6 linked regions of the Mus musculus genome follow. The protein of the gene in region 2 purifies or fractionates together with the protein of the main gene of each other region. This does not show direct contact. Links are inferred from orthologs where the notes say so. Each region holds a gene or a part of one and is shown on either strand. Other genes may lie near its edges.

What was found.
Region 1: the proteins of Nfkb2 (region 2) and Fbxw7 purify together in Homo sapiens (affinity purification with mass spectrometry; 7 studies listed by BioGRID and IntAct, with this or other methods). This does not show direct contact. The link is inferred for Mus musculus from reciprocal best matches to the Homo sapiens genes NFKB2 and FBXW7.
Region 3: the proteins of Nfkb2 (region 2) and Map3k14 purify together in Homo sapiens (affinity purification with mass spectrometry; 6 studies listed by BioGRID and IntAct, with this or other methods). This does not show direct contact. The link is inferred for Mus musculus from reciprocal best matches to the Homo sapiens genes NFKB2 and MAP3K14.
Region 4: the proteins of Nfkb2 (region 2) and Fbxw11 purify together in Homo sapiens (affinity purification with mass spectrometry; 8 studies listed by BioGRID and IntAct, with this or other methods). This does not show direct contact. The link is inferred for Mus musculus from reciprocal best matches to the Homo sapiens genes NFKB2 and FBXW11.
Region 5: the proteins of Nfkb2 (region 2) and Chuk purify together in Homo sapiens (affinity purification with western blotting; 4 studies listed by BioGRID and IntAct, with this or other methods). This does not show direct contact. The link is inferred for Mus musculus from reciprocal best matches to the Homo sapiens genes NFKB2 and CHUK.
Region 6: the proteins of Nfkb2 (region 2) and Nfkbib purify together in Homo sapiens (affinity purification with mass spectrometry; 4 studies listed by BioGRID and IntAct, counting the BioPlex papers as one, with this or other methods). This does not show direct contact. The link is inferred for Mus musculus from reciprocal best matches to the Homo sapiens genes NFKB2 and NFKBIB.

The regions. Positions count from the first base shown.
Region 1 is NC_000069.6:84,965,577-84,969,076, reverse strand, and holds part of Fbxw7 (F-box/WD repeat-containing protein 7), read right to left. Parts: intron 1,638-3,500; coding exon 1,514-1,637; intron 1-1,513. UniProt on the Homo sapiens protein: Substrate recognition component of a SCF (SKP1-CUL1-F-box protein) E3 ubiquitin-protein ligase complex which mediates the ubiquitination and subsequent proteasomal degradation of target proteins.
Region 2 is NC_000085.6:46,304,408-46,308,494, forward strand, and holds the start of Nfkb2 (nuclear factor NF-kappa-B p100 subunit), read left to right. Parts: upstream 1-1,287; 5' UTR 1,288-1,596; coding exon 1,597-1,617; intron 1,618-1,875; coding exon 1,876-1,957; intron 1,958-2,078; coding exon 2,079-2,119; intron 2,120-2,363; coding exon 2,364-2,462; intron 2,463-2,534; coding exon 2,535-2,686; intron 2,687-2,956; coding exon 2,957-3,063; intron 3,064-3,152; coding exon 3,153-3,311; intron 3,312-3,548; coding exon 3,549-3,653; intron 3,654-3,765; coding exon 3,766-3,851; intron 3,852-3,937; coding exon 3,938-4,076; intron 4,077-4,087. UniProt on the Homo sapiens protein: NF-kappa-B is a pleiotropic transcription factor present in almost all cell types and is the endpoint of a series of signal transduction events that are initiated by a vast array of stimuli related to many biological processes such as inflammation, immunity, differentiation, cell growth, tumorigenesis and apoptosis.
Region 3 is NC_000077.6:103,264,602-103,268,597, reverse strand, and holds the start of Map3k14 (mitogen-activated protein kinase kinase kinase 14), read left to right. Parts: upstream 1-1,196; 5' UTR 1,197-1,260; intron 1,261-3,996.
Region 4 is NC_000077.6:32,641,340-32,645,354, reverse strand, and holds the start of Fbxw11 (F-box/WD repeat-containing protein 11), read right to left. Parts: upstream 2,801-4,015; 5' UTR 2,465-2,800; coding exon 2,420-2,464; intron 1-2,419.
Region 5 is NC_000085.6:44,076,478-44,079,977, forward strand, and holds part of Chuk (inhibitor of nuclear factor kappa-B kinase subunit alpha), read right to left. Parts: intron 2,509-3,500; coding exon 2,412-2,508; intron 1,964-2,411; coding exon 1,816-1,963; intron 903-1,815; coding exon 769-902; coding exon of another isoform or gene 603-768; exon of another isoform or gene 1-602.
Region 6 is NC_000073.6:28,758,538-28,761,091, forward strand, and holds the end of Nfkbib (NF-kappa-B inhibitor beta), read right to left. Parts: intron 1,729-2,554; coding exon 1,640-1,728; intron 1,560-1,639; coding exon 1,290-1,559; intron 668-1,289; coding exon 566-667; 3' UTR 501-565; downstream 1-500. Other genes in the region: Ccer2 (coiled-coil domain-containing glutamate-rich protein 2 precursor), read left to right, coding at 118-207. UniProt on the Homo sapiens protein: Inhibits NF-kappa-B by complexing with and trapping it in the cytoplasm.

The sequences.
Region 1 (3,500 bases), on a different chromosome or scaffold from region 2:
CCCAGATACTGGGCTGTGCAGCACTGAACCTCCATTTGTTCTATCTCCATTCTCTCTCACAGTGACTGTGGGAGGTGCTGGTATGAACACGCAAAGATGAGACTGTATGTGCACTGCTGTGGAAATTAGCACAGTGACTCCTAAATACACAAACGCAGTGCAGGATGCAGGACTTTCACTTCTGCATGTATATGCAAAAGGATGAAAAGCAGAGATGTGAACGGCTGTCCATACAAGTCACCGTGCCTTTCCATAGATGAACACCAAATGCAGCAGTGCACCCTGAAATGCTGCTCGCCTTAACAGAGGACACGGGGATACACGCTGTGACATTTTGCTCAGTGAATAAGGCAATCACAAAAGGACAAATGTTGTATAATTTCACTTATCATAGTTTCCTACAACAGTAAACTTATAAAGCATGTAGGCAACAGGAATGGAAGAATGGGGAGAATATCACTGCATCCTACTCAATAAAATGGCTTGAACTCACTATGGAGACCAAGATGGCCTCTAGCTTTCAGCAATCCTGTCTCTGCCTCCTAAGTGCTATGAGTACAATGAACCCCATTACCTCAGGTTATTATCACAGTCTGGACTGCCCTGGAACTTGCTATATAAACCAAGCTGTTCAGAATCATTTTTACGAAATATAGTTTTTTAAGAGGACATTTAAAAAGAACTCTTAAGCTAGGTATGTGGCATACCCTTTTAATTCCATATCCTTTTAATTCAGGAGGCAGAGGAAAGTGGATCTTCATGAGTTCAAGGCCAGCCTGGTCTGTATAGAGACACCCTGTCTCAAGGGGAAAAAAGATTCTGAGAAAGAAGGTAAGGCAGAGTTGATTCACCGTGGTTTACATAAAACAAAACAAAAAACCCGCACAACTTAAGAAGAGGATCTTATCAGTTAATCTAGGAACAGCCAGAGGTTGACTGTAGAACCAGGCTCAGCAAGAAGCACCTGAGATCCTACCCTGGAGTCTTCCCTCCTCCGCCTCACTCGTCAGTGCTCTCTACCTGGTCACACGGCTGCCAAGGGGCCTGATCTATAGAACAGAGCATTACCATTCCCCCCTCAAGCATTTTGCCCCTCAGAAACAGCTATTTTTTTCTAAATGATTACTTTTCTAGATACCTGTTTACAAAACAGAAGATTCTCCCTTTGAAGCCAAACTAAACTATACTTAATAATAGAAGGTCCACAACAGGGAGACTAGGATGAAGCAGTGCCATGTCCCCAGCATTTACAAATGTTCAGCTCACAGGAGGTGCACAGTAAGTGTTTATTCGAGGAGTATATACAATACTCAATTCTGTGGGTATTTAACTGCAGATTTGTGGCTTCCTTTAAATCAGGTGGCCTCCTTTCCTGTTGGGATCAAGGAAGTGAACAGACGCAGACGCATTCTGGCAGGCACCTGAGCCAGCCATCTACTCTCACTCACAGCCAAGTTATTCTGTTAACTTGTTTCCAGAGTAGAAACACATCTGTGTGTGATTCTGAACTTACCCTCTTCTTTACATTTCTCTCTCCAGAGAAGGTTATCCTCAGCCAAAATTCTCCAGTATCGACAAGTCTGAGCCGCTTGCAGCAGGTCTTTGGGTTCCAGGAATGAAAGCACATAGAGTGCCAACTATGGAAAAGGAAATAGGGAAGGCATACTCACACTTCAAAAAAAAAAAAAAAAAATCACAGAAAAAAAGGTTACTCTACCCAGGCTGAGCATCTTGCTAGGACTACTGCATTTCAGTGGCTGAACAAATCAAGAAAAGCAGGATTTTAAGAGCAAAGAAAATGCTCACTAATCTCATATTAGGAATCTGAGGCTTTATTCTGGGTGACCTGTGATTTTATTGGTATTTACTTACAAGGTGAGAGCAATGCCACTTATCACAGGTTTCTTGTGTGAGCCTAGTGCTCAAGCACTTAGATAACCTAAATAAATGTTGATAAAGAGACTTGAAATTGTTCACACCAATTATCAAAAATATATATATATACAAGTACATTTTGTGTAATAAATGGTAATAAAGTTTTAAATAACATAATTCCCTATAGGGTTAAGCCTATACCATTATTCTTCCACATAGACATAAAGCACTTCCCAAGTGAAGAACACCCCAGTAGCAGGAAACAAAACACCATAGCTGATATGCTAAGCCAGGGCTCTCTCCTTCCGAACATCTTTTTTCCTCAGGAAGTCTTTGAAAGAACACCGAAGGCAAGAGAATCTTTTGGGGCTTTGCCTTTTGTTAATCACCTGTGCTTACTTCTTAAATTCTAAAACACTTTCAAATTCTGGAGCTTGGTGATGACTCAGTCAGTAACATTTCATGTGTAATGATGAAGATAAGGGCTTGGATCCCATCTTGTAAAAGGCTAGGCATGGCAATTCTAGCTACAGTCACTGCTCACTGGACAGCTGCCACTCTAGCTGAATGGGTAAGCTCTCGATTCAGTGGTAGACCACATCTGCATGTACATATGTACACCCACTTGAACACATGAACATACTACACATATGCATATTCTAGAGGAGGGTATCGGCCATGTAAAATAATCAAGATGAATATCTACTTCACTTACAAAAAATGTCCCCTATTATTTTACGCCCCGATGGAAGCAAAGGAGATCTCATGTTACTTTTCTAAGTTTATTCAAAGAGTTCTGCTGTAGAAAAAGGGCACAAGAATAAACACTTTTCTTCTGGGACAATGTCATTTTTAAAAAGTACTCCAAAAGGGAAAAGATACCGGGGGGGGGGGGGAATATCAATTTTGCTTTTCCCCAGAGTTGTACTTCACTCCACTGATTTTACTCAAATCTAATGCCAGATTATATCTAGGACTATATTTAACACCACTAGGAATTTAGAGTAATTATCTAAGAAAAGAGCAAGCAAAACTCTTTCTGTTCAAATTTGAGGGTTCAGGATCATTGTATGAATGATGTGTTAGTTTTTTGTGCTATTTAACTGATATTTATTACATGTATATAGTAATTTTAAAAAATATAGGCTATGAGGATACTATTTAATATCACATTATTCCTTTCTTTTGATAAAAATTAAGCTATTAAGTCTAATGTCAATACGTGCATTATATTTAAACTATAAGCCACACATGGCTATATGATTAAGAGCTGTAAGAATCCAATTTTTATGTCATCTCTCTCTCCTCTCTTTCTCTCTCTGATGGATGATGATTAGTAGAAATGCCAAAAAGGAATATAGGTAAAATTCTATATGTTAAAAAAATTGTATAATGTAATAACCAGAGAAATACAACAATTATAAAATTTCTGATTTGAAGGGGCATTAGATAATTAACAAAATAAAAACAAAAATAATGTTGCTGCTTAATGAACCCAGAATTTTGAAAACATCCACTATAAATAATAAACACAACTAAATAACTAAAAAAATAACCAAATAACTAAAGCCAGCCTTTAGATAACCTAGGGAAAAAATTCTTGAAGAAACTCAGTGACTCTCACA
Region 2 (4,087 bases):
ATAGCCAACCTCTGGGCACAGCAAGAGCCAAGTGGCCCACTGGACTCCGTAACGGTCCCGGGCAAGCCTGGAAGAGTGCAGAGATCTGAGCCGCGCCCTGCGCTGGGTCCGTCGTCCCGCCTCGCTGGTCCCTAGCAGAACTGGAGCTGGGTGACACCCCGCGGCCAGTCCTGGGCGAGCCTTCCCCGAAAGGGGCGCGCCTGCGTTGCTCCGGGTTGGCTACAAGAGTCCTGGAGTTAAACTTTCAACCAATAAAAAAGGGCATGGGGAGTGACGCACGGGATCGTCACGGGAATTCCCCCCCTCGGGGGGCCGAAAGGGGCTTTCCCGGCTGGAGCCCTTTGGCTGGAGAGGAGCAACGACCGGTCCGGGGAAGGGCTCGGAAAGAAGTCGGAACCAGAGCCGCCACCACGGTGAGTGGCCGGGTTCAGATCCCTGAGTGTCTAGGGAATGGAGAGGGAGGGAAGGAGGACTTTAGATGACAGGCTGGGGCTGGACGCCACCTCCAGTGAGCGCGCACAGGAACAGGACACTTTGCTACACATCAGCGACACGTCTGCCTGCCCTTAGCTTGCCTGTGCACAGCCGGCCGGTGTGAGCCCCGCACACGCACTCACAGCGCACCCGTGCACCGGCGCCTGCGCACGGACATCCAGACGTGCACGGACGTGTGCCCACACTGGGCAGTACAAGGACTCACCTGTGTGGATGAACGTTCACTTGCACGTGCCATGATGCCACCACTCACCCGGCACACAAGACATTAGGGCTGAAACGCATATTCCTGCAACGGACACATGCGCGTTACACTGGCTTTGGGATTGGAGTCGCCAGGGAGGGCGGGATGCTCCCGTTTGACCGGCCACCGGGAGCAGGTGCAGCGGGAGAATCCGGGAAGCTAAGACGGAATCGCTAGAGACCGTGGAGGGGGAAACTCCTCCCCCCCACACACACCCTGAGGCCCGAATCATATTCTCTGGTCAGAGCCCCGGAGGCCCCACTGGAAGAACCCCCGCCTACGGGCCATTCGGAAAAGGGGCCTCCGACGGCAGGAATGTCCCCACAAAAGCCCCTGGGTGAATCAGCCGTGTCCTCCACGCTGGCTGAAAATCCCAAGTTTGCTCCAGGCTGCGGAGAGGGGGCGAGGCGGCTAGGCCCCGACTGAGCCCCAGGGGCTACAGAGGCTGCCCGGGAACCAGGAACCGCCTGGGCCTCCCGCCCCTCCCGCTGCGGGGGCGTGGCCCCGGCGTCATTTCCAGGCCCGCCCCCTCCGGCTCCGCCTCCCCCTGGTATTTTCGGGACTTTCCTAAGCAGCACTAACTTTCTGCCCCTTTCCCGGGCCAGCCCCGCTCCGGATCTCGACCTCCACCGGATCTTACCCGCCACGCCCGGACGGGCGGCTGGAGGAGATCGGACCCTCCCCCAGATCTGAGCCCCCCTCCCCTACCCATCCCTCTCCCCCTGCCCACCCCTATCCTGATATCTTTCACTCTTCCCCCTCCCACGCCTCTCTTCACCTTAGGCGGGCGTCCGAAACTCTGGAAAGCTGAACCGGGGCCCGAAGCCGCAAGACACAGCAGGGCCTAGCCCAGAGATATGGACAATTGCTACGATCCAGTGAGTCACACTGCCTGACCCTGAGGGCGGCGGGTGCCCTCTGTGTCTGCTTGTCAATTGGACGCTCCTCCACTCCCCTACTTCTGCACTGTCTTCAAATTGTCTTAGTCTGCCAGTCTGTGCTGTCTGCAAACCCTGCCCAGAAATGAGCTTCCTCATAGCTTGAGGAGGAGTCCAGGGAGTGACTGCAGAGGGCTTGGGAGGGGGTGGTTGGGGGGACCCTTGATTCAGCTGCCACCTTCTCTGTCTATAACGCAGGGCCTGGATGGCATCCCCGAATATGATGATTTTGAATTCAGCCCCTCCATCGTGGAGCCTAAGGATCCAGCCCCTGAGACAGGTCAGTAAGTCTTTGGCCTCGCAGTATCTCAGAACCTAGAGGAGAGTGAGCATGTCCCCTGGAGGCCCCACTGAGGGATGGTCTCAGAGATCCTGGCTCAGCAAGGCCCCTCTATTTCCAGCTGATGGCCCCTATCTGGTGATTGTGGAACAGCCCAAACAGGTGAGTGAGTGACAGAGAGTGGTGGCTTCACCTTTGGGGAAAAGGTGGGGCGGGGGGGGGGAGGGTAGTTATACCTACTGATCAGATTAAATAGCTTGCTGCTGATATGTTGGGGGCTTATGAGAAGGAGGTACACTTTTGGTCACTGTGGTCAGTGATGGCTAGTGGTTGCCTTGTGGGGATGACGGGGGGGGGGGGGGGGTTGCCTCTCCTGATCACAATGTCTCTGCTATGGAACCTTCAGCGAGGCTTCAGATTTCGATATGGCTGTGAAGGCCCCTCCCATGGAGGTTTGCCAGGTGCCTCCAGTGAGAAGGGCCGGAAGACCTATCCTACTGTCAAGGTGAGCTCAGATGACACCGGAGGGTAGGGATGGTGTATGGGGCAACTACTGACTATCCTTTGCCATTCTCAGATCTGTAACTATGAGGGACCGGCCAAGATTGAGGTGGACCTGGTGACACACAGTGACCCACCTCGTGCGCATGCCCACAGTCTGGTGGGCAAGCAGTGTTCAGAGTTGGGAGTGTGCGCTGTGTCTGTAGGACCCAAGGACATGACTGCTCAGTAGGTGGCCCTGGCCCCTGGCCCCCAGTGGGATGCTCATTGCCTGCCAGCCTTAGGTCTCATCTCAGGCCACCTGTGTGACTAGCACACAAAGTGGGAAGATTTACTTTGGCCCAGGAACCTCAGAGCTCAACTATAAAGAGCAGTTTCCTTGGAGAACAGAGCCAGGATGAGCCTGACCATGGGGGGTGGAGCGTGGGGGTGGAGGTGCCTCAGGAGGAAAGAGCCTCATGGTCAAAGAGGACAAAGCCTCCTCCTTGTCCTCTCCAGATTTAATAATCTGGGTGTCCTGCATGTAACCAAGAAGAACATGATGGAGATTATGATCCAGAAACTTCAGAGGCAGCGTCTCCGCTCCAAGCCTCAGGGCCTTACAGGTATGGTAACAAAAGGTGTTCCGAGAGGTGTTCCTAGAGGAGCCGGGAAGAGCAGCCCAGAGCTCACACCACCCACATTGTCCATCCAGAGGCTGAGCGGCGGGAGCTAGAGCAGGAGGCCAAGGAGCTGAAGAAAGTCATGGATCTGAGCATTGTACGGCTGCGCTTCTCAGCTTTCCTTCGAGCTAGCGATGGCTCCTTCTCCTTGCCCCTGAAGCCTGTGATCTCCCAGCCCATCCATGACAGCAGTGAGTATTCTGCAGGGGGCCAAGCATGCATTCCCAAAAGAGCGCTTGAGATACCTTCCAGCTATGGGTCTGAACCTGGCCCTGCCACGTGTGGGGTGGTGAGTGCTCGGTAGTCAGAACATCTGAGTGTTGCTTCTGAGTGGTAAATGTGAATACTGCATTTCCTGAAGTTTGATAATGACCCCACCGAGCCTCCGATCCCATCAATGTGTCCCTAACCCATCCCCCACCTTATAGAGTCTCCAGGGGCCTCGAACCTGAAGATCTCCCGAATGGACAAGACAGCGGGTTCCGTGCGCGGTGGAGACGAAGTTTATTTGCTCTGTGATAAGGTGCAAAAAGGTGAGGCAGAAGCCCTCTGGGAGCTGGAAACGCTGGCTGTAAGGGTAATTTCGGGATCCATGCAGCGGGGCTGCAGGCTCTCCCTGTGGCTAAGCCGCACTTTTCTCTGTAGACGACATTGAGGTTCGGTTCTATGAGGATGATGAGAATGGATGGCAAGCCTTTGGGGACTTCTCTCCCACAGACGTTCATAAACAGGTACTGAGGGACTAGGGCCTGTCCTGGAGACAGAACTACGAAGAAACCTTACTGACACCATGTTGCTCTCCCATCCTCCACCCCAGTATGCCATTGTGTTCCGGACACCGCCCTATCACAAGATGAAGATCGAGAGGCCTGTAACGGTGTTCCTGCAGCTGAAACGCAAGCGTGGGGGCGATGTCTCGGACTCCAAACAGTTCACATATTACCCTCTGGTGGAAGGTGAGTCGGGC
Region 3 (3,996 bases), on a different chromosome or scaffold from region 2:
CCACATTGTCTAAATGAATGGCCTTTCTCGGTGTCCAACAACAGATGTCGGCTTGAACTTGTCTCCAGAAAGAAGCTAGGTCTGCAAAGTGGTCACAAGCAGACAGTGGTCTGGCCCTGGCTCAAACCTTTCCAGACAGGCCGTTCCTTATTTCTCAAACCAGCCAAGAATATGGCTGCCACTCCCACCATACCACCAGTCCCTGCATCTGCAGTTAGGATTCCTTGCAGAGTCTCTAAGGTCGCAGCGCATCTTTTATTCTGGAAACATTTTTTTAAAAAACACATATTTGTAATTTCTTATTACCAGTAAACAGAAGCTTGTGGTACAGTAGGAAGCCCATTAGCAAAGTTAGAAAAGAAAAAAAAAATCCATAAATTCCCTACACTCTTTCCCGGCCCCATAAAAAGGGCACTGTAGAGAGCACGTTTTCAAAGACCAAGTCTTCCTGACTCTGTAGTTTAGAATGGATCCCGTGCTCAGCACACACACCATGAAGCTTCTCGGGGTGGAAGGAGACTGTACCACATCTGCACACTCCCTTAGAGCGTTTCAACACCCGGTCTGTCCTACATAGGCCTTTGGCTCCCCACACTTCTCGAGGGTAGGCAGAGCAACCTCATCTCCACACACTTTACAGAACCGGGCTCACTCTACGTGCTCCATAAAAATGTTTCTGGCCCCACCAGGCCCCCACGAAGCAGCCTCGCCCTCAAGCAGAAAGCAGAGAAACCCAAGACCTCAGAGCGAGAGCGCCCCGCCGTCTCCAAGGTAACCAAAGCCGAAGCCGGGAATGCCCACGCATGCGTACAGTCGCCCTTCCTTCCCGTAACCTCAAAAAGAATGCAGCCCGTAAGATTTGCCAGAAGGCGAGAGCGCATGTGTAGTTCAACCAACACCCTGGCCTCCTTCGCCTACAGACCGCCCATCCACCCAGCCTTCGGCGCTGGATACCCTGGCCGGAAACAGTGCCCATTTTGGGGAGGCCTCGCTAGCCAATCGCTGCTGAGGAGTGGCCGGCAGGCCGACCGGATCAAGGCGTTTTATTGGCTAACTTATAGGAATGGGTGGGATCAAGGGTCGCGGTGCGGCCAAAGAAAGGAGGCGGGAAGCTAGCAAAGTCGCAGCCACGGGGGGAGGCGTGGCCCGGGGCGGGGATAGGCACGGGGGCGTGGTCGAGGAGGGGCAGCAGGGGCCCGGAGCGATCGCTGGCCAGCGAAGCGCCACACTCGCTTGTTTGAGGACAACGGCGCTCCGCCGGTAGGTGACTGGGCAGAACCCCGAGTCCTAAAGCGGGACGCCGAGGGAGCGGGCGGGGAAGGGGCGCCTCCCAGGCGGGGACTGGGTTGCAGCCGGGCTGTCCACGAGGGATGGCTGGGAGGGGTGGCCGGGTGACTACGGTCTAACCCGCTCGCACGCTCAGCGCCATCAGCGCCACGCTCGAAACGCCGTGCTCGCCTAGAACCTCCAGGCCGCGCACCCACGGGTCACACGCTTGCCCGGAACGCGCGCGGGTACTGTCTGCTTCCCTTTCCCCAACATCCGTGCCATCGAGTTCAGCCGCCCTACTGGCAGACCTGGCTCCTAAGTGTCCCCCAAGAGAAGGTGATCGCTCCACTGCCCTAGCAGTGACATGAGCAGCCTTTCCCTTTGAACTGCTTGGGATCACTTGTTCTGAGAGGATCACTGCTCTGGGCACTCAGTAGAGCAATGCTAGTCGCTGATGGTGCTGTCCTCCCTCCTCGATGGTCCTTACCCTTCTCTAATTCTGTGTTCTACTCGGAACTTTTGGAATCTGTTTATATGTACTAGTCCCGTCCTGGAAGCTCTTCCCGGCTCTGGCAACTTTCAGCCACCTGTCACCAAGTGAAAAGAAACATTTGTCTGAGGCAGAGATTCCCACCTGCTTTGGAACCTCATCATGTTCATTAACTTCAGACCTCCCCCCCTCCACTCCCCACCCCCCAGTTGAGATTAAAAGATGGCTGACAGCCCTAAAGGATGGATAGGGGTGTGCATGGGCTGTCAAGTGGATGAGTGGAGAAAAGTTTCAAATATCAGTGTCTTAATGACATGTTGTTGTTGTTGTTGTTGTTGTTAATTGGAGACAATGAACACTAATGACTGGATTAAGGGCGCTAAAAGAATGAACTGAACGAGGAGTGGCACCATGACCAGTGGACTTCGGAACACTGGCGAGTATCTAGAAACATAGTCTCTCTGAAAGATTAGAGGATTGTTTCCTAACTTCAGTTCTGCAGGGTTTTGCTTAGTAACTTTCCCATTTAGTGGTAGGTGTGGTCAGATGCATAGACTGTTGTCCAGTTGGTAAGCGAAGTACCTGAACCAGGTGTGAGGGATGATATGCCTCGTCTGTGGCCTCAGAGCCATGAGTGAGGGTGAGTTCTCCAGATCCCTGAATAAGAACAGCATAACCTAACTTTGATAGAGAAAGGGGGGGGGGTTGGGGTGATCTTTTTGCTGTTAATGTGAGAGGATGCTTTGAAGACTCTTGACTTGCTTATGATGTATGTGTGTATTTCCTCTTGTATTTAAAGTGATGTCAAAGGCAATTCCTTTGGATGGATGCCAGCTTTATGAGTTTTTCAGACGCCCTTAAGACATCTTGAAAACTAGGCATGGTGGCACACACCTGTAATCCATCACTGGGAGGCTGGGACAAGGAGGATTTGTTGTGACTTTGAAGCCTGTCAGGGCTTCATAGCAAGGCCCTGTCTCAGAGCACCAGAGAGGAAAAAGAAAGAAAGAAGACATCCTGATTTATTTGGAAGAGTGTGATAAATTTCTCAGAACAGCTCATAATAATAGTTAGTATGTCTGACTTTAATTTTAGAAATAAGTGCCCAGCTGTACATACCCAGAAATACATACCAGAAGTTTGTGAAATCAAATAGTACTACGTGATCAGGCTTCAGGCTTCAGGTCATTTTCGGATTGTTTTTGGGGTGGATGGAGCAGTTCTGAAGGTTGTTGGTTTTTTTGTTTTGTTTTGTTTTGTTTTGTTTTGTTTTGTTTGCCTCTGGTGTCTGTTAGAGTTTGTGGGAGTGGCACCACAGACAGAGACTCTGCCAAATGAACCTTTATCTCAAAAAAAAAAAAAAAAACCTGCCTGGTTTTGCCATTCATTCTTGGCAGATAGGAGTGTGGTTCCTCATTTTGGTTCCCCTGATGAACACAGATTCCTTTGTGATCGGCTCGGGCTGGAGAGGACAGGGCTCGCCCTGATTGGTTGCTCCACCCCAGACAACTGTTGTGAGATTTTTGGTGAGTTCTAGGGTCCATTCTGAGCTAGGGGCTGGGAGGAGATCGGTCGGATGTAAAACGGATAAAAGCTCAGATCTACGCTTGTTCCTTTAGGCCATCCCCCCCCCCCCTTGTCTTAAGAGTTTGCCTGTGAAGTCACTTTTAGTTTCTTTTTTTTTTAATTTTGTATTTATCTATTTATTTTTAACTTCTTGTCTCAGTGGACAGCACATGGGCTTCTTACAGGTGCTTCTCCCCCGGGAAGACCTGATTGGCTTGACAGATTTTTCCCCCCAAGAAGAAAAAAGAAAACTGAAAACTGAATTCAGACCCAGTAGCAGGTCAGCTCGCTGCACATGCAGACAGACAGACAGACAGACGGCTCCTCCGATAGCACCCATCGGCTAGATGCTTTTTTTTTCTTTTTTTCCTGGCAAAAGGTTAAAATGCAACTAAAATTCTGCTTTCGTGATTAATAAGTCACTACCGCAGTTGTGTGTGATGCTTCCTGTTTGCCCCGTTTTAGCATTTCAGTTAAACTGGAGACCTCTGAGCACCCTGGGCACTTCTGGTGGCACCATCGTGAGGTGGGTGGGGAGAAGGGTGGGCTTGGAGAGTTGGATAAGTCAGCCCTCCCTGCACACCAGGATCCCGAATAAGGGAAAGGAACGGTGGCGTGTCTTCTCGGGTAGGGCGAGCTGTTCAAGTGCGAGCACTCTGTTCACTTGGTAA
Region 4 (4,015 bases), on a different chromosome or scaffold from region 2:
TACATAAACAACTTTTTTTTTAATTAGATATTTTCTTTATTTACATTTCAAATGCTATCCGGAAAGTTCCCTATACCCTCCTCCTGCCCTGCTCCCCTACCCACCCACTACCACTTCTTGGCCCTGGCATTCCCCTGTACTGGGGCACATAAAGTTTGCAAGACCTAGGGGCCTCTCTTCCCAGTGATGGCTGACTAGGCCATCTTCTGATACATATGCAGCAGAGACACGAGCTCTGGGGGTACTGCTTAGTTCATATTGTTGTTCTACCTATAGGGTTGCAGACCCCTTCAACTCCTTGGGTACTTTCTCTAGCTCCTCCACTGGGGGCCCTGTGTTCCATCCTATAGATGACTGTGAGCATCCACTTCTGTATTTGCCAGGCACTGGCATAGCCTCATACGAGACAGCTATAACAGGATCCCTTCAGCAAAATCTTGCTGGCATATGCAATAGTGTCTGGGTTTGGTGGCTGATTATGGGATGGATCCCCAGGAGGGGTGGTCTCTGGATAGTCCATCCTTTTGTCTTAGCTCCAAACTTTGTCTCTGTAACTCCTTTCATGGCTATTTTGTTCCCTATTAAACAACAACTTTTTAAAGATATTTTGTCGCCAGGCAGTGGTGGCACACGCCTTTAATCCCAGCACTTGGGAGGCAGAGGCAGGCGGATTTCTGAGTTGGTGGCCAGCCTGGTCTACAGAGTGAGTTCCAGGACAGCCAGGGCTACACAGAGAAATCCTGTCTCCAAAAACCAAAAACCAAAAAAAAAAAAAAAAAAAAAAAAAAAGGTATTTTGTTAAAATAACTATCAAAGTTTCCCAAACTGTTATAACCAACAATTCGATTCTGAAAATGGAAAAAAGTCCTCAGAACCTGAAGATAAAGTGACAGAATTCCTTTCAACACATACAACCAACCAGAAACTTCCAGGTTTAATTTTCAACAATCCAGTTCTGCACATTGTGCAGAGTCCAGCAGACATGAGACTCTGTATTTTATGCTACTATACTTCCATTTTAAAACGTGTACCTCAGCTCCCTGGATAACATCATCCACAGAAACCATGAGGCTATCCAACAGACTTTCAGTATCACCATTTATTATTTATAGCATTAAATGGGGGAAGTGGCTCTGATGTCACCAACCCTACCCAGTGGAATCACTGACTCAATAAGCGATTCACACTGGAGAAACTCTGACGAGGAAAACATCTTGCTAAGTTCAGCAGATCTTTCACCTTTTCTTAATACTGTGGAGCAGATACTAGTTGTTACTATATCAGTAGAGATACAAAGAAAACTATCAAGGTTTTCACAGGAAGAAGCCCTTTGTATGTTCATTTGCAGAGGCTGATTTCCTCCCCAACTCTCCTGGGCCCAGTTTGATTTCCCTCACGTTCAAACTGGCAGGTAATACCAGTCAGCCATACTTTATTTCTTCCGCCAATGAGCAAATCCTTCACTTTCCCAGACTCAGAGTCCTGTTTCCAAAAACCTTTCTAGCACCAAGTCTGAGGTCAGAAACGGGTTAGGGGTGTCCGGGGAGACCTGACCAGGCTGGCTACCAATGGTTCCTAACAGTACAGGGATCGCTGCTTATCCGTGGGCCAAGAAACCCCCCTCCCATTTTTTATTATTAAAATAAGAGAGGGTGGCAGTGATGAGCGCGACCTCTTCTCCCTCCCCTCTCATTTCCCAAATGATAAAAGTTATGGTTTCCCTTTCCTGGGGGATGGAATTCAAGAGTACCTAGGGCCTTGCTATACAAACATCCTTCACGGCAGGGTAGGAAACCCTTTGTCCAAGAAGCCTGACACCGCAGGGGCCCGGAAAATAGGCCCCTTATCCGGAACAGCCTCAGACTCGTAGGCACCCCCAACATCCCAGTCCAATGGGGCTATCCTGGCATCCATACAGCGGTAGCTTGGGGCGAGGGTGCTGAGACCCACCCCTACCACCCACCCCACCCCACCCCACCCCACCCCCCGCGCCTAGGTTATGGAGGCCGAAGCGGCTCCAACTGGTCTCGGACTCCCTTCCACCACCATCACCCTCAGCTTGAGCGAGGCTGGGAGGCGCGATGCAGGCCCGGCCAGAGGAATCCAGGGAAGGGAAAAAGAAATCCCCTTCTAAAAACAGAGTGTGATGGCAAGGCAAGAGTGAGCAGTGGCTCCGGCAGGAGCGAGGCTGGGGCGCCGGAGACTGGCCGGAGCCCGGCAAGGAGGGGGTTGGGGGAGCCGCGGGGAGTGGAGGCCGTGCCGGCCCAAGAGCGCGAAGCGTCAGCAACGAGCCATAGCAGGGGGGCGGCCGGGCCCAGGCGGCGGGGAACGAGGGCTGGCCTGGCGCGGACGCCGGGGTGGGCAGGCCCCCCGGCCGCCGGCCGGCCGGAAGAACTGAAGGCCAGTGGGCCGCACTCACCATGAGCTCGATGGTCTTGTCTTCAATCACCGAGTCGGGCTCCATGGCGGCCCCGGCGGCCCCGCCTCGCTCTCTCCGCTCAGCAGCGATCGGCCCGGGCGGAGGAGGCGGTGGCGGCGGCGGCGGTGGAGGCAGCTCTCGCACCCACTCTAGCTGCCAGCCCGCCCGGGCCGCCCGCAGCTCCGCCCTCACCCTCGGCCGACGCAGGACGCACAGCGAAGACTACAACTCCCGGCAGCCGCGGCGGCTCGCGCAGCTTTGTGGGAGCAAGAAGCCGCTTGGTCCAATCTGCCGGCTTCTGCCACCGGAGAGAGCACCTAGGGGAGCGCAGGGCTGTGAGTGCCGGACGTGCAGAGCTGGAGTATCTAGGGCTTGCTCGCGATAGGGCCTCGCGAGCGCCGCGACTACTTGTCCCAGAAATCCTCGCGCGCGAGGTCTTCTTCCGGTTGGTCGTTCCTGACTTCCTGGCAGCCCGTAGCCGCACGGACCTGGACGGAAACTCCGAGGCAACTCCTCACTTGTCGGAGATCTTTGCAGTGCGAGCGAGCGATCTCCGCACATGCGCAGTGGGTGTCTGCGGTGCCCACTAGTCGTCTAGGCTGCAGCGCTGCCGTTCCGTGTGTGTTGCATTTGGTAGGGACAGATGGTGGAGACAGGTGGGTCCCAGGTTGCACTAGGAAGTGTGGGAGGGGGCCCGCGAGGTCGAAGACACAATTAAAGGAAGATGGGCATCTAAGAGTTTGGAGACTGAGCTGGGAAAGCGGTGTGTGGAGATCTGCCACACTGACTGGGAGGAGCTGAGCCATGAGAAAGAAGCTATACATTTTGAAGACACTTTTTTTTTTTTCCGAGACAGGGTTTCTCTGTATACCTGGCTGTCCTGGAACTCACTTTGTAGACCAGGCTGTCCTCGAACTCAGAAATCTGCCTGCCTCCACCTCCTCAAAGGCGTGCGCCACCACCGCCCGGCCGAAGACACTTATTTTTAAGCATTCAGTTTCTACTAGTACTGCCCTAAGCACTGGGAATGACCGGAGAGACCTCTGTTCTTATTCAGCTTAATTCTAGTGGGAAGACAGCAGACATTGACTAAGAGTTAGAAATGATATGAAGAAACGCATCTAGAGACTTCAGAGAACCTCTAACTCCTTGTGACTTCCAAGTCTGTCAATACCCTCGAACCAAAAGCCCCCAGGAACACGCTGATAGTTGAACAAGGTGGGTTTTTTCCTAGCTGAAGTAGAAATGAACATACACCATGATGAAGCAGGGACGTCTCAGTAAGAGACCTTAGGTAATGTAGAAAAGGATTTGAAGGGGCTTTGGAGCAGATACTGCCGGGAAGTGGGGGTATAAGACTGGGCACCTCAGCCTTATCTATGGGAAGTTATATTAGATTAAAACTAATCCAGTAATTGTTGACAGCCTCTCCTGTTAGCCAGATTCAAGTGTTTAGTCTTGTAGCTGTGTTTCAGGGACTTGGACAATGTCCATGTTTTATCTGTGTTCACAAATGATTATGGGGTGGTCTTGTTTTTGTCTTGATCCATAAGCTAAGGCCACAGAATGGCCTTGTCTAATGTTGACGGACTGTTA
Region 5 (3,500 bases), about 2.2 Mb from region 2:
TCTCCACTCTACTTGTTTACATGCTCATCCTGGGCCACACAGTTAGTGAGCCCGAGACCTGCCCTGGAACTCGCTTTCTTTACAAGGAAATACCTGGAAGCGCTTGCCTTCCTGCCATGTGCTTGCTCTCTCATAAAGGCAGCACAGAGCATGCCACTATGTGACCTCCCGAGCAGCCATGTAACATGAGAGCATGTCTGTAAAACTAATCAGGGGGAGACCTGTGGGAAGTGCTTGGTGCTGTGGAGGTCTCCATGAGCCGAGAGAAAAGCGACAGTGCACAAGCTAGCAAAGAGCCTCCTGACCACGGCACACCTTACGCTGGGAAAATAACAGACGGACAGACATTCAGCTTTAAGCAGAAGAGGAGGAACTAGAGACAAAATACAGCGCTGCAAATCTGAGTTCTTACTTGCAAATGATTTAAAGCACTGAAAAATTTTAATTTAAGAAATAGACCTCACAAAAGCCAGGCGTGGTGGTGCACGCCTTTAATCCCAGCACTCGGGAGGCAGAGGCAGGTGGATTTCTAAGTTTGAGGCCAGTCTGGTCTACAGAGTGAGTTCTAGGACAGTGAGAACTATACAGAGAAATCCTATCTCCTATCTCCAAAAACCAAAAACCAAAAACCAAAAAAAAAAAAAAAAAAAAGAAGAAGAAGAAAACTGAGAGCCCGGGTCTGAAGGCACCATTAACCACCATGCTTGCCACCTCTGTCCTCCCCCTTTCCCTGAAACACAACTGCCTATTGTTACAAAGTAAACCCACCCATCTTGAGGAGTTACCACACATGTCAGAGGATGTTCACGGTCTGCTAATGTAGGGGGCAGCCATGCTGATACTGGAGGGGTTACTGTGCCTTCTAGACTGTATCCTACAAGAGAGCGGGCAGAACTCTGTGTCTGAAGGAAAAAACACATGCACACACACAATAAGTTACAGGCGAGCACCTGTTGATTCACACCATTTAAAAAAAACTATATTCTAAGATATATAATTCAATTATTACTTTATAAAACCTGGACTGTTTATGAACAAAACTAGTCTCACCTCTATTAAATATACTGTAATCTCTGGCCCCTTTTCTTCACTGACTAAAACTGAGTGTTTCTATCTACACAGACTAAAGCTAAATGAGTCGAATACCTCTAATTCAGCTTTTGTTTGGGGGAAGGGGACAGCTGAACAAGGCTGACTTGTTAACAAGTCAGATGCATTTACTCCATGTTGGGTTGGGCAACCACAGTGATCCAGAGTAGGGAGGACTGTAAAACGGGGACTGAGCTCGGTATGGTGGCTCACACTTCTAATCTCAGCAACTGGAGGCAGGAAAATTGCTGTGAGGTAGTTTAGCTTCCAGTCTAGGCTAGAGAGAGCTTTTATCTCAAAAGAAACAAACAACCACACATATACCACCACCACCATGTCCACCACCACCACGTCCACCAGCAGCAGCACTGGAAAGGAGAGTGATAATACAAACATCCTATCTCTATAATTACTTGGATACTGAACAAGGAACGTGTGAACCCAATATAAAGTATAAATATTCGCCGGGCTGTGGTGGCATACACCTTTAATCCCAGCACTCAGGAGGCAGAGGCAGGTGGATTTCTGAGTTTGAGGCCAGCCTGGTCTACAGAGTGAGTTACAGGACAGCCAGGGCTACACAGAGAAACCCTGTCTCAAAAAAAACAAAAAACCTACCAAACAAAAAAGTATAACTATTCAAAGGACATACCTTAAAGCAATAAAAAAGCCTCTGTGGCAGAAAATAACAGTAACTCAGTATTACCTTCACTAATAATTACTTACACAGGCAATTTTAAGGAGGTGCCAAATTTCTTTCTGCCTCTTTCCCTGCATAAACATGACAGTATTGTCAGCTTCTTTGATGTTACTGAGGGCCACTTCCACCTTGGGGAGTAGATCAATAATCTTCTGCTTGCAGCCCAACAACTTGCTGGAAAGATTGAGTCAGTGTCAGATACTTGCCACACCTCTCTGTATAACTGTCCACCATGCCCCACCCAGAGGAGACAAAGCACAACCAGCACACCAGTGAACGGATGGCCTCAAAAGCAGTGAATGAGGAGCCAGACACATAGCTCAGAGGGTCAGAGCACTGGCTGCATTTCCAGAGGACCTGGGTTCAATTCCCAGCACCAGTCACATCCATCTGTAAGTCCAGTTCCACATCTTATGCCCCTGGCCTCACATACGTGGGGCAAGCATACAGGCAAAATACCCATACATATAAATAAAATAGAAAGTAATGCATATGTTCAGGGCTTACACAGCACCATGTTTTATAAGATACTGACAATTATTATTTATCAAAAAGGAGTATTATGATTTTTAAGGAACACAAATATAATGGCATTTAGGAGGGAATAAAGCAATTTTTCTACCTCAGGTGACCAAACAGCTCCTTGAGAACACGGTCCTGACTCTGCACGGTGTGCACGATGATCTTCACCATCTCTGTGCTGTCGCTGTACAAGTGATCTAGAAACGACTTCAGTTAGTAGTCTATACAACCTCTCCTTTGCAGAACACATCAATTTCCAAACAGGACGTTCCTTAAAGATGCTCAAAAAGCTGCAAGCAGTCTACACAATTTCTCCTTTTGCTGAAGAACACTGTCCTTGAAGTGTGGCACTGCTGTTGTCTTAGCTCTCAGCTGTCACAGCTCTCAGAAGCAGTGACTACATAGGTAAGGTGAGGTCCACTAACGGTCTGCCATGAAACAGAGAGGGGTGCAGGAGGCCTTACCCCTCTTCAAGAACCTAAGAGGTTCTCTTGCAGAGAGACAGAAAGAGGAGAGATTTTCTTCAGAAATGTAGCTCCTGAAGCACCTCTAAGTAATCCTGAGGAAATTCAGATTTGCCAAACACGACCAGGACAAAGTCATGACTTGTCTGTCACTGGTGTACTGTCTGGGGTAAATGGACTGTTCACATCGCCCCATGAAAAACTACCACACCATTTAAATTAACACATGGATTTAAAAAAAATTTAAATTAACTATAAATTCTAAGACATTGAAGTATAGTTCATTGACAGCTATACATCAAAAATTAAAGTGACAAGGCTAGGTATAGTTGTCAAAAGCCCTTGCTGCTCTTCCAGAGAACCCAGATTTGTATCCCAGCACTCAAGTCAGGTGGCTCACAAGTGCCTATAACAACATCTCCAGGAGAATCTGATGCCCTCTTCTGGACTCTGGGTACCCCTATACAAATGAAATACACCCACACGTACAGACATACATATTTTCTAAAAAGTAAATTTATGCATGGTTGTATGTTTAATTCTTAAGAGACTTATGTTGCCTGTGTTTGAGAGAATAGTCTGGTTGATTTAACCCTTACTAACCCAAATTCCAACACAGATGCAGCCCTTGGCCAGGAGACTAGTTTTCTTACACGATTAACACTGCTTACTTAGAACAGTGGGTGGGCCAGGCTTTCACTGCCCTAAACAGGTTGCTGGGAACT
Region 6 (2,554 bases), on a different chromosome or scaffold from region 2:
GTCCTCACTGACTATGACACACAGCTAGGACAGGATGTCAGGCCAAGCATATGAAGTGGCAGAGCTGCTATTCACAGTGGCCATCGAGGTGGTAACCATACTTCTGATCTCCCCCAGGAACACGATGTGGAGCGGCTGGAGCGCATGCAGGAGCAGTTAAAGAAGGCTACCGCCATGCTAGGGGAGGCTCTCGGGAGGGAAGGCTGACCCCACGCCACTCCTTCCCCACACTCCCTGAGGCTCAGGACTGTTGACCTCAGAGCCTCCTTTCACCGGGCATTCTGCTCCACTTCCAACTGGTAGGGACTGGAAGCAAGGATGTGCCTGAGAACCAAGCCTGAGAGAAGCCTATGGGCAGGGGCTGGGCTCCGGCTGACTCAGGACCCCGCCCACCCCTCCATCCCTGAGTGAATAAAGCACAAAGCAAAGCACCCGGGCTCGCATCACACTTCGGCTCTGGAGGGTCGGGACCTGAAATAAGCAGGAAGGCAGGGTCAGTCTGGGCTCTGGTTGTCAGGTCTGCAATTTTATTAAGTTGGAAATTATATTAATATTAGCACTTAAGTCAGGCAGGGTTGGGGTCATCAGGAAGAGGTTTGGATGCCGGGGAAGGCGGTTGTCGGTTTTGGCTCCTGCCACTGTGAACCACGATGTCATCATATTCATCCTGGGAACAGAGAGGGGTAGCACAGGGTCAGGCAGCTGCCACCTTGCCCACTACCCGGGTCACAGCACCCAAAGAATGGGTGTCACCGTGAAGCCAGTGTTCTCACTCTCAGCACACCATACTGGTGGCCACGGCTCCGCGCTGCTTTCTCCCACCACTGCATGGCTCTTCTCCCCGAGCTCCCATCTCACCCACCCCTGCCTGGGTGGGCTGTCCCCTGGGTTCTTCAGTAATGCTCCCCCTCACCACTGGCTGAGGTCTTTCCCTACCATCAAGTGATCTAGACACTCTAACCGAGGTCACCAACCTACACCGCTCTCCATCTGCTGCTCCCAACGTCACTCCCCACATAGGGTCTCACCATGCACCCCTTGCTGGCCTCAAACTCACATCCACTGCCTCTGCCTCCTGAATCCTGGGATCCTAGGCTAAAGGTGTGTGTCACATGACAGATGGCCTTAGCTGTCCAGCTGCCACTGCCACCCTTGCCCAAGTCTATGACTGTTCCCCACATCTCCTCGTGTGTCCCTCCTCTGGATTCCCCGACAGTATCCATCCGGTTAGGTTTTCTCGTTGCTGGTTTACCCCGACCCTCCAGCTGGGGTACCCACTCCCAACTCACGCCCTCATCTCTGTTGTCACTGTCACTGTCGCTGCCGCTGCTGCTGCAAGGGCTAAGCTTATCGTCCTCGTCCTCAGGTTCAGGGGCCCCATGTGCACGGAGGAGGCGGGCAAGGATGGGGTTGGGCCGGAGCAGGGCACTGCCAAGCGGGGTGCGGCCCCCATACATGCGGGCGGTGGGGTCAGCACCGGCTTTCAGGAGAAGTTCCAGCACGCTGGCTGCCTGGGCTTCTACTGCCAGGTGCAGAGGGGTCCGGCCACACGTAGGCTCCTGCAGGATGTGCCAGAGAGGTCAGTGAGACTGAAGAGAGGACAGTGCCTTCCCCACACTGGCCCACCACAGTGTCTTACCGGTTTATTGAGGTCGGCTCCGGCATCCCTGAGCAGCCGGACCATCTCTGCATCTTTGTGGATGACAGCTACATGGAGTGGGGTATGGCCTGGGAACAGAGCAATTGGTGTCAGATGATGAGGTAAGAAGCCTTGGCTCAGGCTAGAGAGATGGCTCAGCGGTTTAGAGCACTGACTGCTCTTCTGAAGGTCCTAAGTTCAAATCCCAGAAACACATGGTGGCTCACAACCACCGGTAATGAGCTCTGACGTCCTCTTCTGGTGCATCTGAAAACAGCTACAGTGTACTTAACATATAATATAATAAATAAACCTTTAAAAAAAAAAAAAAAAGAGAAGCCTTGGCTCTGTGTTCATCCTAGGAAAGGGCCATGTGAGCTAAGGATGCCAATATGTCAGGTCCCAGGGCTGGCTTCTCAAGTCCTTCCTAGGTATGCATACAGGCTCCTGAATTCCAGGTGCAAGCCTAAGTCTGCTGTGTCTGGGATCTACAGGGCATGAGACCGGGGACTCTAAATGAAAGCACACGCACATGATCTGTGGATCAAGCCGCCAAATCTTTGATCTTCCTCCACAAAGAGCAGAGGCCTGACCAGCATGCACAGCCCTTGAGTTCCAGCCCCAGCACCATAAATAAAACAAAAGATACAGTGACAATAACAGTAAAAGTCCCCAAAAGGGCCTGGGGCTCAGGACTCTGGCTATCAGATGACCTCAGTCTATTCATGAGGCGGGGCTGAGAGGGTAACCCGCATCCTCTGCCCCTGGCTGGGGACATGGGATGGATCCTCTCATCATGGTCAGGCTGGGCTGGTGGCTCATACTCGGGAACAATTCTGGAGGGAAGTCACCTTGCAGATGGGTAGCCCTGGTTTAACCACTGTATCCTGGCATCTCTGGACCTGTGGCTGACAG